Linked DNA regions of Xenopus tropicalis. The protein of the gene in region 1 interacts with the protein of each later gene in a biochemical or structural test. Links are inferred from orthologs where the notes say so. Each region holds a gene or a part of one and is shown on either strand. Other genes may lie near its edges. The genes, in order: slc9a1 and tesc.

Evidence for each region.
Region 2: the proteins of slc9a1 (region 1) and tesc form a complex in vitro, tested with the Homo sapiens proteins (4 studies listed by BioGRID and IntAct, with this or other methods). The link is inferred for Xenopus tropicalis from reciprocal best matches to the Homo sapiens genes SLC9A1 and TESC.

The regions. Positions count from the first base shown.
Region 1 is NC_030678.2:77,892,374-77,901,215, forward strand, and holds the start of slc9a1 (sodium/hydrogen exchanger 1), read right to left. Parts: upstream 4,824-8,842; 5' UTR 4,287-4,823; coding exon 4,001-4,286; intron 1-4,000. UniProt on the Homo sapiens protein: Electroneutral Na(+) /H(+) antiporter that extrudes Na(+) in exchange for external protons driven by the inward sodium ion chemical gradient, protecting cells from acidification that occurs from metabolism.
Region 2 is NC_030677.2:164,792,322-164,800,466, reverse strand, and holds part of tesc (calcineurin B homologous protein 3), read left to right. Parts: intron 1-1,720; coding exon 1,721-1,860; intron 1,861-2,778; coding exon 2,779-2,840; intron 2,841-2,940; coding exon 2,941-3,048; intron 3,049-4,708; coding exon 4,709-4,756; intron 4,757-8,145. UniProt on the Homo sapiens protein: Functions as an integral cofactor in cell pH regulation by controlling plasma membrane-type Na(+)/H(+) exchange activity. Promotes the maturation, transport, cell surface stability and exchange activity of SLC9A1/NHE1 at the plasma membrane.

The DNA.
Region 1 (8,842 bases):
TCTAGCAATGATAGCAAGATAAAAAGATATTCATCCTTGAAAATTAGCTACCAGTATAATGCTAATGGTGTATGTAATTTTCAAGTGGCATTAAAACACAAAAAGCTTTTTCACTTTTACTAACTTTTGTCCCACATTGTGGAATTTATAGCACTATATGGTAGCTATGATACCAAGTTGCTGTAACAGAGCACTGAGTGCCCAAAACAAAAAACAAAAAGATATATATGAAAAGTGCAGCCACACAGCTCATTAGCATTCTCACTACAGCGAGAGCCAACACCTTTCCTCTATCCCCTCAAATCCAGTTTTACTAGTCATGAGGTCAAATTGCACAATGACCTACAGAAAGACTTCTGAATAAAAGCACAGAACAGGCAGTTACTTTTTGAAAAGTAAATGAATCGGGATTTCCAGAGCCACACCTTTTGGCACATATTTCAGATTGTTTTTAGGCCTCAGTAATCACTTTCTATTGTGTATATTTTTGGGATCACCAAAATTAATCCCTCAAAAGAACTGCAGACTATTTCAACAGTACAAAATATAGGAACACTCATTTACTGCAGAGCCAATACAAAAAAGAAATAATTTTTGCTACGTATTCTGAACTTCACTTCCCAGCATCCTGAGCAGTTTATTTTTAAAATAAGGTTATTTTATGAAAGAGCAGCAGAAAACACTATGTAAAAATTCCTTAGAATTGCGGGGTTACTAGCTTTGTTTCTTGATAAACTGAGATTTTCCACTAGTACTTTTGTCACACAATAAGTGTAAGATTTCACACGTTATTTGTTTGTTGCCTTGATAATAGTAACCATGAATACCTTTAATGATTCTCTACTTATGGAATTCTTTGTGCTTTTAGTAATTGCACACCACAAAGGTATATCGTTTTTTCCCATTTTTTTTCTCAGGCACTCAGTATTTACTTTTGTTCTCTTCACAACTTTATTATGTGAACATGTAGTGCTTTATAATCTCTTGGCCTTTATAAAAAGCAGTTTGTTTTATACAGTGAACGAGGTGCACACAGGTAACCTTAAACATTTAGTAATTAATTCTTCTCACCCTTACACCAAAGCTCAAAACCGATGAAGGAATGATTTACATAGTGCTGTTATAACTATCTGGTCTAATGATCATTGCTTTACAGCTGTATTTCGCAAATATGCATAGTTAAATATACCTGTGAAATTAAAGAGGTAGTTCATTTAAAAAATCGTATTGTTTTAAATATGGCTCAGAGTAAGCCATGTCCTGATGACATCAGTCAAAAGGGATGTCTATGAGCCAGATATGCCAAATTTTATTGCCCCCCAGTCTTTTTAAGGGCTTCATAGACTCCATTGTGTGACATTTTAATCTGTCCTTCAAACTTGCAGTATGACATACTCAACTCAACATACTCAATTATTACACTTGGGGGCACATTCATCAAAATACGACAGGTTCGAATGCAAAAAATTAGTATTTCTTTCTAAAGTTTACTTTTGTGTATTTTCTGCAATATTTTCGTTAATTTGCGCGACTTTTTCATATTTTTCGTACTTTTTTGCGACAAAATCATTCAAGCTTTGGTATCGTGACTTTCCTTGGGCCAGGTTGGAGCTGCAGAGTGCCATAGAGTCCTATGGGAGATTTCCAAAATCATGCACTGAAGGTTCAAAGTCAGAAAGGTTTTCCCGCCATTTACGACCGTTCGGATATGAAAATTTCGTGATTTGCGCAAACGATCGTTTCAACACAAACTTCAGATCATAAGTACGAAATTTTTGTATTCAAACGAACTGAATTTTCATGACTTTTCCAAACATCAGAAATTAATGGATTTCATGATTCGGATTCGTACTTAGATTAATCTAGCCCTTGGTGTGATCTTTGTTGGTCCACCACACCAAAGAGGGTAATGATGGTGTTGAATTGCCTATATTTGTGCAGTGGACAGGTGGAGTCCAAATTGTCAGGCTAATGCCAGATGTGGTGTATTCTCGGCACACCGAAAACACTTACAGAGAATGCGCCCCTACGCTGCAAAAATCTACTACTAGAGCCTGCACCTGGAAGCATTGAATACGCTCGGGTGCAGGCACATGTGGTGTATTTCTGCCGGAAACTGCATACACCAACATTTTCAGGCAGAAATACGGTACTTGTACCGGCACCCTTGAGTATTCAGGCACAAGCAGGAGGTTTTTACAGTAGCAGGGCGGATTCTCGGCAAGTGTTTTCCAGCTTGCCGAAAATATATCACATCTGGCATTAGCCTAAGAATTTGGTTTTGTAAATTCTTTACAGCCCAGTGAGCATCAATAACCATTAATTTAATTGGGATCTCGTTATATAGTTATAGCGCGAAAAAAAGATTACTTCTAGGCCAAAATACTGAGAATTTAAAAGGGTTTACAAACTTTCAAACACCACTGTAAGCTTAGGGAAATTAAAGACATTTTTCAAAAAATAAAAATAGAAATCAAATGAAATTTTTATTCTGCATACTACTGTCCTGAAAACTCAGCTGGGAGCGTTTAGAACACAACATTCTGTGCTTTTCTCATTCTTTAAAAACACTTTTAGAACCTTTTAACTAAAGTGGAACAATTTTCCATATAAACTCCCATATCTTCTGTAAAAGCATTAGTAACTGAAATGTGTGCAAGCACAGGATACTTGATGGCAATTTTTGATTCTACTGAACAAAAAGAATTACACAGAAAACAAAATAAAGCAAAACCTGTGACAGTATCATCTGATCATCTTGAGCCCCAGGGCGTATCTGTTCTATGTTCATCTGCATGCAAACAACTACATTATATTCTATTAAAAACAGAATTTGACTAACTGACTCAGAGTACTGCCAAATGTTGCTAATCACCAGTCCAAGCAGCAAAATAAACCACTTTCTATAGGTGGTTTATAACTAACTCATGTATGGGATTGTGAATGTTAAATGAAAAGCAGCACTGTAAGCACGCACGTAAGCAGCACTCATGTAAGAGACTATGTAATGTAAAATGATATCCCCAATTTGACATTACTTCTATAAAACAAAACTTCCTCCTGGGCACTACCAACAATCACACAGGTTGTTAAATATAACATAGCCATAGTTCTATACATTCAGCAGAACACGGCTTAAAGCTTTTATATTACACTTTTAAGATACCACTTTTAAGTTCAGAGGAGAGCTTTACTCAGTGCTTGCCTACCAAGGTGGGGTGGTGTTCTCTATAACTAACATTAAAATATATATGGTAGAGGCCGCTATCCAAAAATATTGCAAATTTATTTACAAACCAGACAATTTATAAACCATAATAAAACAAAAAACAGTTCATCTATCAAAAATATTGTATGGAAGTTTTCCTTTTGTAAAACAAATATTTAACAAGCCATTATATTAAATTGCTATTGAATCTGATAGCACCTTATTTAAGGAAATAGTAAAATTATTTATATTTACATTTTGTGATACTAGCTTATTAGCTTTTATTATTTATAATAATTGTAATTCCTCCTCAGAAACTGTGGCTGCTCCTTTTCCCATGTTTACTAAGTTATGTGTACTCATACAATCTCCATCACACAAATATTTGTTAAAGGTGTATTATTATATTTAAAAAAAAATCCATATTATCTTTTAATTTAGAGATAACAGACCTTAGCAACTGAAGCCTGAGTTCTTGTTACAGTGTTACCCTGTATGTTTGGGGTTAAACTTCTCAGAACCTTGTTTGTTGTGTGACTGATAGGGATCTGAGACTGCAAGCTCCACTGGGCAGATTGATGTAAATGATGAACAGTCTCTGCAAAGAGCTGCATACACATAAAGTAATATGTAATTAATAATTTTAAAAAATGCATTAATAGAAATAAAAAAAGAGAACTAATTAACATAACTTTTTGGTGGAAGATTGTTGGCTGAAAACTGACTCATTTGCTTCTTCCTGGCAAACCAAGACATGTATTCTGATAGCATGTAACACCTGTCATTACTCACCAAGTTTCATAAGTGATGCCAGAAGGATCCATAATGCTATCTCAAAGGGCATCCGAATACGAGTGTAATCCAGATCAAGAACAGGGAAAGCTTTCTTTTTTCCATGATGCCCTCCTTCGTGACTGTGATTGGTACTATCATGGTGGGTATCCTCAAACACATCATAGGCATCAGTTATGCCAGGATGACCAGATTCAGGAGGATAACTAGCCTCACTAAATACTAAGGGTATCAGAGTCAAAATAAATATATAGCCAAAGTAGTTTAGAAACAATTTCTTCTCCATTATTAATTACTGGACCCTGTGTACCTAACAACGTGATTTAAACACCACTTGATAACACACCTGCATAAAAGTATGCATCAGCCTGCTATGGAATGGCTTTGTGTACACACACATATACATATATATACACACAAGAACAAGCAAGACTAACTACTTCTGTGTATCCCCATAGACAAGGACAAGGCTACATGTACTCCCAATACAACCAAGGCCGCCATCGGGGAATGAAAGGAGGGCAGCCGTCACAATCTCTGTGGGTTTTGTGGTTTAAAGGATTTCCCGGCTATGCTGCACTTATTCAATTACCGGCCCCTTTGCTTTCAGTGAGCTACAGACTTTGGGAGGAATTCCGGTCGCTAAAGTGCCTGTATGTTCTTTCCCCTACACAGCTTATAATGCCAAACAGTCCCGAGTTCCCATACACAGCCACCAGCCCCGTACGCTACTTAGACCTCCCGCAAAATTGTTAACTGCAGGTTCCCAGCCTCCTGTCTTTAAGAAAATCTCAACGCCCCAAGTCTCATCTCGCGAGACTTGCGTCACGCCCACAGGTAAGAGCAGTGACGCATCACGTAGACGCCTTGTGGGAGTGAGCAGTCGGCGGGGTTCAGAAGCTGGAAATGAGTTGCCGTAGCTCAACTTTAAATCTATTTTGTCTACTTCTGTTAGAGGGAAAGAAACAGCAGAGATTTTAGTGTGTTGTTTTATGCCTTTCCGTCTGTCACCTTAGTCCCCAGTGTTATTAGAAGTCATTTATACATGTTGCTCAGACTTTTGAATTGTGCCAGGGCGCTAATACTTTTTCCTGGTTGCCGACAGCATACCTCCTAACATTTTGAAAATGGAAAGAGGGACAAAAAGAAATGATATTTTTAAAACCACACCCCTTAAGTACCACTCCCATTTGACTATATTTGGAAGGTTAATTTCAACACATTTCTGGGGGGTTTGGGGTCTTGTTTTATGTATTATTAAAGTTTTGTTAAAAAAGCTGAAATTAAGCTGGAAGTCTTGGTTCCCCCAAGAGACCTGTTTAACTTATTATTTACAATTGTATCTTAAGTGCTGGGGGGGCTTTTTAACTTCCTGGGCTCTCTGCCAAAAGCTACTTTTTAATTAAATTTGTATCTTTTTTTAGCTTCAGTGCAGGAGATCAAAGGAAAAAGAGGGACTTTTTAGTAAGAATACAGGACTGTGGGATGAGCTGTCAAAAGAGGGACTGTCCTTCGAAAATTGGGACAGTTGGTAGGGATGCCAACAGTCAGGGCCGGATTTATCTTCAGGGCGCCCCGATGGCCGCCCCCGTTGGTCGCCCCGCCCCCTGTGCGCATGCACGAACGCGCGACACACCCCCGTGCGCAGGTGCGAGTGTGCATGCGCAAACCTTTAAACTCCCATACGGAGCAGTGGGGAGAGGTCCCGACTGCTCCGTATGGGAGCCAAATTTAAAAATTTTGTTGGGGCGGCATGCCGCCCCTAAATTCTGCCGCCCTAGGCCCGGGCCTTTGTGGCCTTTCCACAAATCCGGGCCTGCCAACAGTACCTGCTGCCAGGACAGCCTCCAGAAACTTAGGGGCCCCGTAGAAGAAGCGGTTTATATGGAACCCCTCATGAGCACAAGCACACTGTATCAAGATTTTGGCCATTTTTTGTGTATGCAATATCAACAGCTGAAGTTACTCTATAATAAACAGTTCATATTAAGACTTTCATTAATGTGTTGGAGGTCTACCTCTTTCCTAACCTTACTCTGGCTGTCATTGCTTGATATAAAAAATACTTAACTTTTTGCACAAGTAACATAAACTGTGTATGTTTAGGGGCCCAATAACTAGTCACTAGTAGTTAAAATTGTAAACATAATGAGCTAATAAGTGGCTTGATGTGGTGCTGAGAGAACGCACACTGCGAGAGCTACTGGCCAGTGCAACGATCAATTTCCGCTACGACTAGAAGGCATTTCACAGAGTAGACTGGAAGTTTCTCGTTAAATCTGAACTATAGGATTAGGATCCCAAATGCTTAACTGGATTTCAGCTCTATACTCAACCCCCTCTGCTAGGTTAAAAATCAATGGCACCCTTCTCAATCCACAAAGGAACCTGCCAATTATGTTTTCTGTCGCCCCTTTTATTTGTCATATCCATAGAGAGCTTCCTCAATTATATCACGCAATAAATGTCACAGGTATTGAAGTGGGCACAAGAAAGCAGAAATAGCTGGATACGCAGATGACCTGTTACTCTTTCTATGATGTCCACAGTTCTCTATACTAAACCTATTACCAGAACTGGACCAGTTTAACAATCTAAGCAACTTTAAAATACATTTAGCTAAATCAGAGGTTATGAATATAAGCATACCTTAGAATGAATATAACACCATAATGAGCAATTTCCCTTTAAAAGTAGCCCGCTGATATAATTAGGGTCTAAAAACGAATTTGTCTATACACACCATGGTAAAACTAGACTATTAGGGCCTGCTTAATAGAGTGCAACAAGACCTCAAAAATTTAATGAATATGAATATCCTTTTATCGCTGACAGAACAGATAAAAAGCTAGTATACTCCCTCCAAGTATGGGATAATCTTGTTAACACTGCAAAATGAATTGGAAAACCATCCCGATTTACCCCAATATTTGGCAACCCCACTTTTCCACTGGGAAAAAATCACAAATTATATGACAGATGGCAAGTAAAACAACACCAGGTAGTCTATTTTTTCTCTCTGGAAATACTATCCCACCTATAGACAACATTCTCCCTCATCTCCAGCCTACACCACCTGACCAGTTCAAATACGAACAAATTAAACATTTACCATTTATCTAGCATTATCACACATTACCATGTCATGTCGTGTAACCAAAACCTTGCATACCCAAATAGAGCTATTATGGAAAGCCATACTTAACCATAAAGATACCCCCAATCATTTCTTCAAAGTCAAATTGGAAGAACAAGTGGGCAGAACTTTAGAGAACAAGGAATGGGAGAAAATAGTCTCACTAATATGCTCTACCTCTATTTGTATATGAATACATGAACTAAATTACAAAATATTAAGTAAATGGTGCAGAACTCCAGTCAAACTAGCCAAGATATATTAAACAGTTCCATCCACCTGTTGGAGATGTCCTATTGGGCCAGGCACACTTTCTTACATTTTCTGGGAATGCCCAATGCTGTCTGATTACTGGAACAAAGTATGCAAAGCTATCACTGATGTGACAAATGCGGAGGTCCTGAATGAACCACTTACTATAGTTTTACACCATACACCTATAAGCAGAAAAATATACCAGAAAACGCTAGTACCAATTATGTTGGACTCAGATAAACTTCTAATACCTTAGAGATGAGGACAGTCTTTGCCACCGAGTTTTCCTGATTAGTTACGTAAGATCATGGAAATCGAAAGATTTGAGAGCTACAAAGCATCAACAGCACAAGAGGAGCAACAATTATCTCAAAAATGGTTTTATTGGATTAGATACAAAGAAACAAATCAATACAAGAGCTTAATGCAATATTGAACCTTGTTCTGAGTAATACTATACACTATAATATTTCTAACATGGAACTCCTTGTGTCTCCTGGCATGGTCTGGGACTGATACAGGGCCAGAGAGCTCAGTCTTCTGCATCACATTCCTAACAGATATACTCCACATGGGACAACTATCTATAGCGCTGGTTTTAGCCTCATCGGGTGGTGGTTGCTTGTCCTGTTCTCTTTTCCTTCTCAGTTCCATAGAAGTAAATCTTACCTGATCCTAGATCCTAAAACCCCACACATGTTACTGCTTGATTATTAAACACTGAATCAGCTATAAGAGATAGCTCTATTCTCATCTATCCCTTTTCTATTTCTTTCCTCACCCTTTCTAACAAATTCTTCATGCTTTTCAGACTTGCCTGTATGAAACAGTTTATTAATGCCTAGAATGATGGAGAAGTTGGCTGGAATACATGTTTTTTTCTCTTGGGAAATATGTCCAAACATGTTTTTCTGTTTGTTCTTAAAAAAAAATAATAATTAATCTGCTAATAAGTCAATCAGCTAATTGAGGAGCAGTGGATTTTCCCTTAAAGGGATACTGTCATGATTTTTATGGTATTCTTTTTATTTCTAAGTTACACTGTTTACATAGCTAATAATTCACTCTACCGTTTAAAATTTTATTCCTGAACCAGCAAATGTATTTTTGTTAAGTTGAACCAGCAAATGTATTTTTTTTAGTTGTAATATTGGCATATAGGCAGCCATCTCAGTGCATGGTGCCTGAAGCTGGCGATACACGCACCGATAATATCGTACGAAACCTTGTTTTGTACGATATTCGGTGCATGTATGGCAAGTCGGTGAGTCGACCGATATCGCAGGAGGCTGCTGATATCAGTCGACTCGCCGATTGGCCAGGTTAAAAGATTTTGATCAGGCGCCATAGAAGGTGCCTGAGCAAAATCTGCCGTCAGGGCTGAATCGGCAGAAGGAAATCCTATTGTTTCTACCTCCTTATCTGCCGTTTCAGTCCTGAACTGTTAGTGG
Region 2 (8,145 bases), on another chromosome or scaffold:
AACTGAACAATTATGTCCCATGGGTCCCCTTCCACTCACCGACAGGTTAAAGAACTAAAAGCAGGAAGTAGTGTTCTGGCTATTATGTTAGACATCCACTCACTCCAGCCTTTATAGATTACATTCTTGCCAAACTATATTAGAAACATTTTTTTTCACACAACCTATACTTACCCAGTTTTAGGGCTCTGGCACACGGGGGAGATTAGTCGCCCGCGACAAAACTCCCTGTTCGCGGGCGACATCTCCCCGAGTTGCCATGACCCGCCATCCCGCCGGCGAACATGTAAGTCGCCGGCGGGATGGCACACGCGGCGGGGCGATTTCGCCGGTGAGATGGCAGGGGTAGGCAACTCGGGGAGATCAGTCGCCCGCGAACAGGGAGTTTTGTCGCGGGCGACTAATCTCCCCCGTGTGCCAGAGCCCTTATTCCTACATTGAACTGTTCCTTTAACCATGGACAGGGCAGATAACCTGTGTAAATATGCTAATACCTTTGTCCTACACTATCCTCTTCTTCTGCAAACAAGTAACCAATGACATGGGATTCCTGATGAGATTTGGCCTGTTAATGGAGAAACAGAGAGTCTTTGCTGACATACACACTAAGCCAAACGCAATGCGCTGTGTGCTTGAGTACAATGTATCATTTATTTTATCTGGAATTAAAACACCAAGAAAGGAGATGGAGGAGATGGTTATTATTTCTCTACCCTGGTTTCTGTGCTGAGTGATGCTAATGATTAACACTGTGACCCCTCCGCCCATATCTGGGTAGTATCTCACACAACTTGTATTGGTAACTTGGCCCAGGCTTTGGTTATAGGATAGGCCAGTGCTGATCATTCCCATCTCTTGACTTTAGTATCAGATTCTGCATTGTCTGCGTAATATGTTTCTGTAGCACCATGGGCAGTAAGAGTCAGGTGCAGAAACAAAACAAATAGCAGGACCTTCTCGCTAAAAAGTGTTCTTAGTTGAGGTTTGCTTGGAAACAGAGTCACATAAATTCCCAACTGACATTGCAAAGTGCAGAGTAATTAGGGGGCCACATGACAGGCCATTGTACATTACTGTTCCTCAGGCAAGCCACCAACAGACAGAATCTTGGTTTTATAACTGGGAGCCCCCACAGCTTCTTAGTGACACATTACACCCCAGATAAGCAAAGCTGATGAATTTTTCAGAGTTTAATACTAAGTATGGCTATTCATATCCTTCATGTAGAGTTCAGCAAAATTGGTAAACCATAACGTATAGATAAGCCGCACAAGTACAGAAACTGCTTTCCATCAAAGAAATGGTGTTTTGTTACATTTCATCTTACTAAATGTGATTCTGAACTTTGTTAAAAATGAGCTGCAAACTGCACTGGAGATCAATGTCATAAATACCTAATGCACACTGGATAGTAAATATGATAAGGTGACATAGAAAGGGTTCCTGGGGTGGGCATAGCAGCGCAATTACAATCATCCAGCTCTGTGAGTTTCACAGTAATAACCCTTGGTAATTATATACTCCCATCTCACATGTAGCTGTGGGGCTGACTTGGGCTCCATTTAGTGAAGGAAATTCAGTGGTTCCTTCTGACTTATTTTGCCTTTTTTCTCTAGGGGAATATTGGTGGCCAAATAGTGCTGGTAGCAGTTCTCATTTGCCCCATAGTCTGCTGATTACTCCTAGCGAATTCTTGCATTTCCTTGCATCTCTCTTGCAGGAATTTACGGAAAGGGTCGAGTGGATATGTAGAAGAAATTAACTTTGAGGAGTTTCTGACAATAATGTCCTATTTCCGCCCCCTGAGCCAGAATATGGATGAAGAAAACATAAGCGTGTGTCGGAAAGACAAGCTGAGATGTGAGTTCTTCATGCCTATGTACAGAATGGCCTGCATGAACTGAACATGACTTGCGTAGAGTTACCATATACATAGTATGCATTCATTCTTAAAGGGGAACTAAACTTTGCCAGCAAGCTCCCGCCATACTGGGGACTGTACTACATGTTTTAAAGGAACAGTAACACCAAAAAATGAAAATGTTATAAAAGTAATTACAATATAATGTACTGTTGCCCTGCACTGGTAAAATGTTTGTTTGCTACTATAGTTTGTATAAATAAGCTGTCCATGGGGCAGCCATTCAAACTGAAATAGGGCAAAATGGTGCAGGTTACATGGCAGATAACAGATAAGCTTTGTAAAAGAACATTGTGCCCCTATGGCTACACAGCAGCTTGTTAGTATAAACTACAGTAGTCTTTCTGAACACACAGCTATTACCATTGTAGTTCATAATATTTTATCTACTTTATAATACTTTCATATTTTTGGTGTATGTTGCCAGGTTTCCAGCAGCATTGTCCCATATAAACACCATCCTCCATTGCTGGCTGCACACTGGGCAGATGAACAAAGCTCTTGCACACAGGCTATTAGATTCAGGAAACAATTGGGCTAGGTATCAGCACTGTGGGCCAAACAGTGTGATATAATCCCTATAGCATTTAGATAATAATTCGTGTTTATATAGTACAATAGGAGGTGTATTTTCCCATATCCTAGTTCCACTTAAGCTGCTACCACACAAGGCTGATTCTCGTCCTGGGAAGGAATCGGCCCCTACCCTGGCATCAGTCTTTCCCTGTGCCTGCACCCGTAACCATTGAGTTGGCCTGGATACAGGCGCATGGAGCAAATTTTGGCGGAAAAACATTCAATACATTGACTATCTTTGCAAGAGCACAGACTAAACACAGCTTTCTTTTCTCACATAGTTCTGTTCAACATGTATGATACAGACAATGATAGCAAGATTACCCTGGAGGAATACAGAAAAGTAATGTATACGTTTTACCTTACTTGCATCTATCTATCTATCTATCTATCTATCTATCCTGGGAAGCTGTCCAAGCTAACGCTGTTTTGTAATGGCCTAGGTGGTAGAAGAACTCTTATCTGGAAATCCGAATATTGAAAAGGAAACTGCAAGATCCATTGCAGATGGAGCAATGTTGGAAGCTGCCAGCATTTGTGTTGGCCAAATGGTAATTTATCATATTATAAAGCTGCTAGAAGGCTGAAAATAGGTGGGATTTGATGTGGTGTGGCTTAAAGAGTCACTGACCCATAAACTTGAGCTTCTTGTGCATAGAAAATAAAAGTGCTGCAATAGATAGAAGGTATCTCTCTTTACGAGAGAAACTCTGAGGAGTTGTCCATTGTGCTATTTGTGCCACATGTTGGCAACTATTCTCTTATGATATAACATGACACCCTACTCTCTGCATCAGTGCTGGGATTCTCCTGTAATGTGCACAAACCAAAAGGATTTAAAGTTAAATACATCTATCCTATGCCATTCTCTGTATTTAGACCATATATGTCAAACACAAGGCCCGGGGGCCAAATCCGGCCCACCTGGCTGTTTTATGTGGCCCCTGGTGGGTGTGTTTGACCATCCAGCCTGATCAATTTCCATTTTCCTTACATAGTAACTAAGACTAAGTGGTATATCTATCAGTAGCAAAGCATCTATTGGCTGCTATGAGCAACATCTTACTCCACTTTTTACACATTGTGATAAATATAGCCCTTAGTATCTTACTAAGTATATTGATAAAAAAATTGGCCCACGACTTAGCCTGTGTTTTAGATTTCGGCCCCCTTATGTGATTGAGTTTGACACCCCTGATTTAGACACTGGTGCTATTTGTGGCCTGGGTTTTGTCACAGCTACAAAATGCTAGAAAATGCTAGAGACAATGCTGAGAATTCTTTGCTGAAACACTCAAAATCACTTAAAATTATGCGATTTAAGTGTTTCAGCGGAGACACTTCTCACTATTCCTGCCATTTGTACCTGCAAGAAAACAAGTGCAACATATAGCACCACATGTCATTGCCCTAATAGTTCCTCAGTACAATATTTGTGCTAAATTGGGCATGAAATCCACATCAGAGCACAGTTTAAGTACCATACCCCCCCTTTATAGGAGATTATCCCTGAAATCACCTATTTTATATCAGTCAAGGAAGCAAGAAGTGTACATTATTCCTGCTGCTCCGAAACTGTATCAAATCGGTGCTCTGCCAATTGAAGGGTAATTGAGTGTGACACACTGATAAGGCGTGATAAAGGCAATAAAATCCACAATAAACTCTGCATTGTTGTTTGTATAGTGCCCAGTCCAAGGCCTGCCAGAACAATTTCCATTTAGGCTAATGTCCCATGGAGCAAGTTAGTTACTAGTGATAGATCTCTGCTACTGCGGGCAACTAACAGCTCTGAAATGCCTTTCCACTGGCAACAATAGGAGTCCCAGGTGGAAAGGCCTACACTTTGCTTCAGTTTTCCTCCTGCAGGCAACTTTGTGCGAGTCAAAGCGATGCATAGGCCTTTCTACTGGCCTGCTGTTGCTGGTGGAAAGGAGTGGTTAGGGATATATTGTTTGCTCCTAGGGCCAAACAATCACATTAGCACAATATCACCCACCTAAGGGGATATATCAGGAGAAATATTCTCTCGTTTGGTGACCTTGTGTATGGCCACCTTCAGGCGCCCTACTTATCTCCCCTCTGCTGTATTCTGCACAGTGCAAATAGTAATAGGTGCACATAGCTCTGCAAATCACCTTTAGCTGCTATGCTTGTGCCCTCTTGTGTTAAACCCATTTATTAAGGCATTTTAATCTTATGCTTTGACAGGAACCTGACCAGGTATATGAAGGAATTACATTTGATGACTTCCTCAAGGTAACTATTTGTTTTGATTCATTTGCCAAAATACATTGTCGAAACTTTATAATGAAAAGTCTCTGAAGAGCACTTCAATACCAATACACAGTAGCTGAACATGATAGGAAGTGGGAGCAGCACTGCTGCCTTGGTAGCAAACACTGCAGTACATTAGCTGGAAGACTTTCTGGGCTCTTCTATTAAAAAATGTTGCCAAAACATATACACATGCAAGTAGCAGGAGCAGCAGCTTTGAGAGATGAATCTGTAGTTCCTTAATTGGACCCTCAATTTGCCATGCGTGTTGTGCCAGCAGTAGTTACACGGCCCAGTGCTCACATGTTGCACTCACACACCAGGGGTGGAACACAATGCCGGGAATCCTTTAATGGTGAACACAAATTGCTTTGTATAAAACTTATTCAGGTGCCTAAGTGTACACCAACTTTATGCCCATTGGCCAGGTATCTGTTCATGCAGGTTAGGAAATCTTATTGGGCAAAAGCTGAATCGGCACATTTCTGTGTAACTGTCCTGACAGGCCTGCCTTAGCCCCCTGTTATTAGCCAGCCCTTGTCCTATAGACCAACTAAGTAGGTCATCCTTATTTGGCCCTCTGTGGTGACCTTGCCAATCGTGCAGATCTTTTGTCGTGGTCAACTTTAGATTTTCAGAAGTTTTAAGGCAACTAAATGAACAGACAATTTTTGCTAGCTATAAACCTTGTAGGATACAGGCTTTAGGCGGGCACGCCATTACACTTCCTGGTCCCAAACTATTTACCAACTATATTTTTGTCTAATGATCCACTTTTGCCCACGGTCCAGGTCAGAGTACTTGGATGCTAATGTTCAGGCTTAGACTGCAGCCTTCTCAAAATAAATAAAATCTGGCAAGGCCAGGTACAAGCCTATACGTAAAAAGCAGCACAAGTAGATATTATATATTTTTTTCAAGCAAGGAAAAAAGGCTACGTGCGTATCTGAAAGTGGGGCAGCAGCTTGTTCCTCAAAAAACTTGTTGGCAAGCATCACTTCTAGCTGAGTGTGTCCGGCCAAGTTCTTTAGTGGCCACTGTCTGCTTATCAGCTGATGCTCTGAATGTACATTAACAAGAAGACGCATTACAGGAGCTTAGAGAAGAATGTGAAGAATTTTGATGAGCACACATAGCTGCCAAATTATCATTCCTCTGCAGCTATTCCTAGCAATACAGTCAGATGCCTCCTCAACTTGCTCCCAGACCCAGCTTTATTTATATATGAGAGTGACCGGGCTGCTCATTACCCAGCCTTTATTAATATTCCCAGGTTAGTGAAAGCCTGTATGTCTGAGCTGGGGGTGAGCAGTTTGTAATTATTAGGTGCCTGCTCAAATACAATTCCTAGTGAGACTTAAGCCTTATATTTCAAACACTGTTAAAACAAAATAATTCCTGACGATAGTGAAAGAGCTGAAAGCAGTTTCATGGTACTTTCAGGGGGTACCTGTGGCCAGCGGATCTACTTACAACGAAACCTGTTTTACGTCCTGATTTAAAGTTTTTCCTCTTTTTAGACCATTTTTGTATTACCACAACGTATAATGCATTTCCCTAATTCTATATTTTTATTTCGGCTGAATGATTTGATGCCACTAATTTTGAATTTAATCCAGGCCAGCTAAACCCATAGGGACAGATATATCAAAAGTACTGTGTACTGTTTTTTGTGTCCATTTTCTCAGGGGCATCAATACCCTAGTGTAGAAGCTGCCATCAGATTGGTGGATTCTACACTTATGTTGCATGTGACGTGAGCCTCACTCAAGAAGAGCTTTCTTGGCACCCCTGAGAAACCTGACACAAGAAATATTTAAAAAAGAAAAAAAACATAATACGTGGTACTTTGATTTACCTGAGATTTTCCCATATGTTTCTATTTAACGTATTAATAAACCAACCTGATAATTCTTAAATCAGTGCACTGATAGAAACTAGATTGTGAAAACTGGCAAAAAGTGGATAAATCTCAGAAAGACCTCAGTATGCGAGAGAAATGCTTTTTTCAGTTAAGTTAAAGATAAAGGAGATGTCTAAACTTTGGATAAATCTGTGCCCAGTTAAGCACACCCGTGCTAGTTTCTTAGATGAATAAATTCCATACATATCTCATGTAGCAAGGAAACCCTTGTCTCAGGCAGCTAAATGGTGACACTGAAGAAGGAAAGGTAAAAACTAAGAAAGCTTTATCAGAAGGTCTATGTAAATACAGCCATAAGCACTCACAGTAATGCTGCACTGAGTCCTCTATCAAAAGAAACAGGATTTTTTTGTCTCCTTTTTGTGAACATGTTCTTTGGTATCAGACTTCCTCTCTTTTAGGGCTCCTTCATGTTTGGGCAGGGGCAGGCCAAGGGAGGGGGGAGAGCCATTGCCCCCACCGCATGACAACCGGTGGGGCAATGAGAAGGGAGCACGGGCTAGGGATAGGCAGGAGAGGTTTCTGCCTGGCGCCCCCCAATTGTTGCACCCTAGCCAGCTGCCTCTTCTGCCTATCCCCTAGTTCCGGCCCTGGGTTTTTGGCAGGAGTCTCCCCAGTTCCCCCCCCTCCTATAAAAATGCATACAAACTCCCGCCCCCCCCCCCTTAGGAATGGGTTATCTGAGCTATAACTGCAGTAGGAAGCTACCAAGACCAATCTAAAATGGCAGCTGCTATCAGAGGGAGCTTCGAGGGTTCTTTACTCAGGTATAGTAAAGCTTTCTGCTGAATAAATATAGCGTTCTAGGTGGCACTAATGTGTCAAATCTATTGCCAGTAAAATGCCAAAATGACTTTCCGTCTCCTTTAAGAACCAAATTTCCACCTTTTAAATTGAAAATTTAGCATTTTAAGAGCTAATTCATCTGTCTGCTGTGAAAAATGTGTAAATTATTAATTAGATTTTCCATACTGGTTATTTAAACCAAATACAATGCTTATGCTTTCAATCTGCAGAGAACCTGGCCATGTATGGTTTCCTACCAGCAATTTCCATTAATGCCTACGCTAAATAGTCCTGTGCATGACATAAGTAACTTATATATGATGGCTGAAGGTGGCCATATACAGGCAGATTTAAGCCCCCGATTCAAGTCCTTCAGACCGATTTGGCTGCTTATCTGCCCATTTATTGGGACCCCCCACAGGATATCGATATCTGGCTGAAAATTGGCCAAGTGTCGTTTGGGTAGGTTTGATTTTCACATTGGATTAAAGACTGCATTGGCTCATTGATGTGATTATTTCAATATCGCCCACCTTAGGTGAGCATATTGGGGTAGAGATCCGCTCGTTTGGTGACCTCACCAAACAAGAACTTGTAGGGGCAGATTTATCAAAATGTGAGTTTAGAGTTTCATACATAAAAACTCACTAACATTGCATTC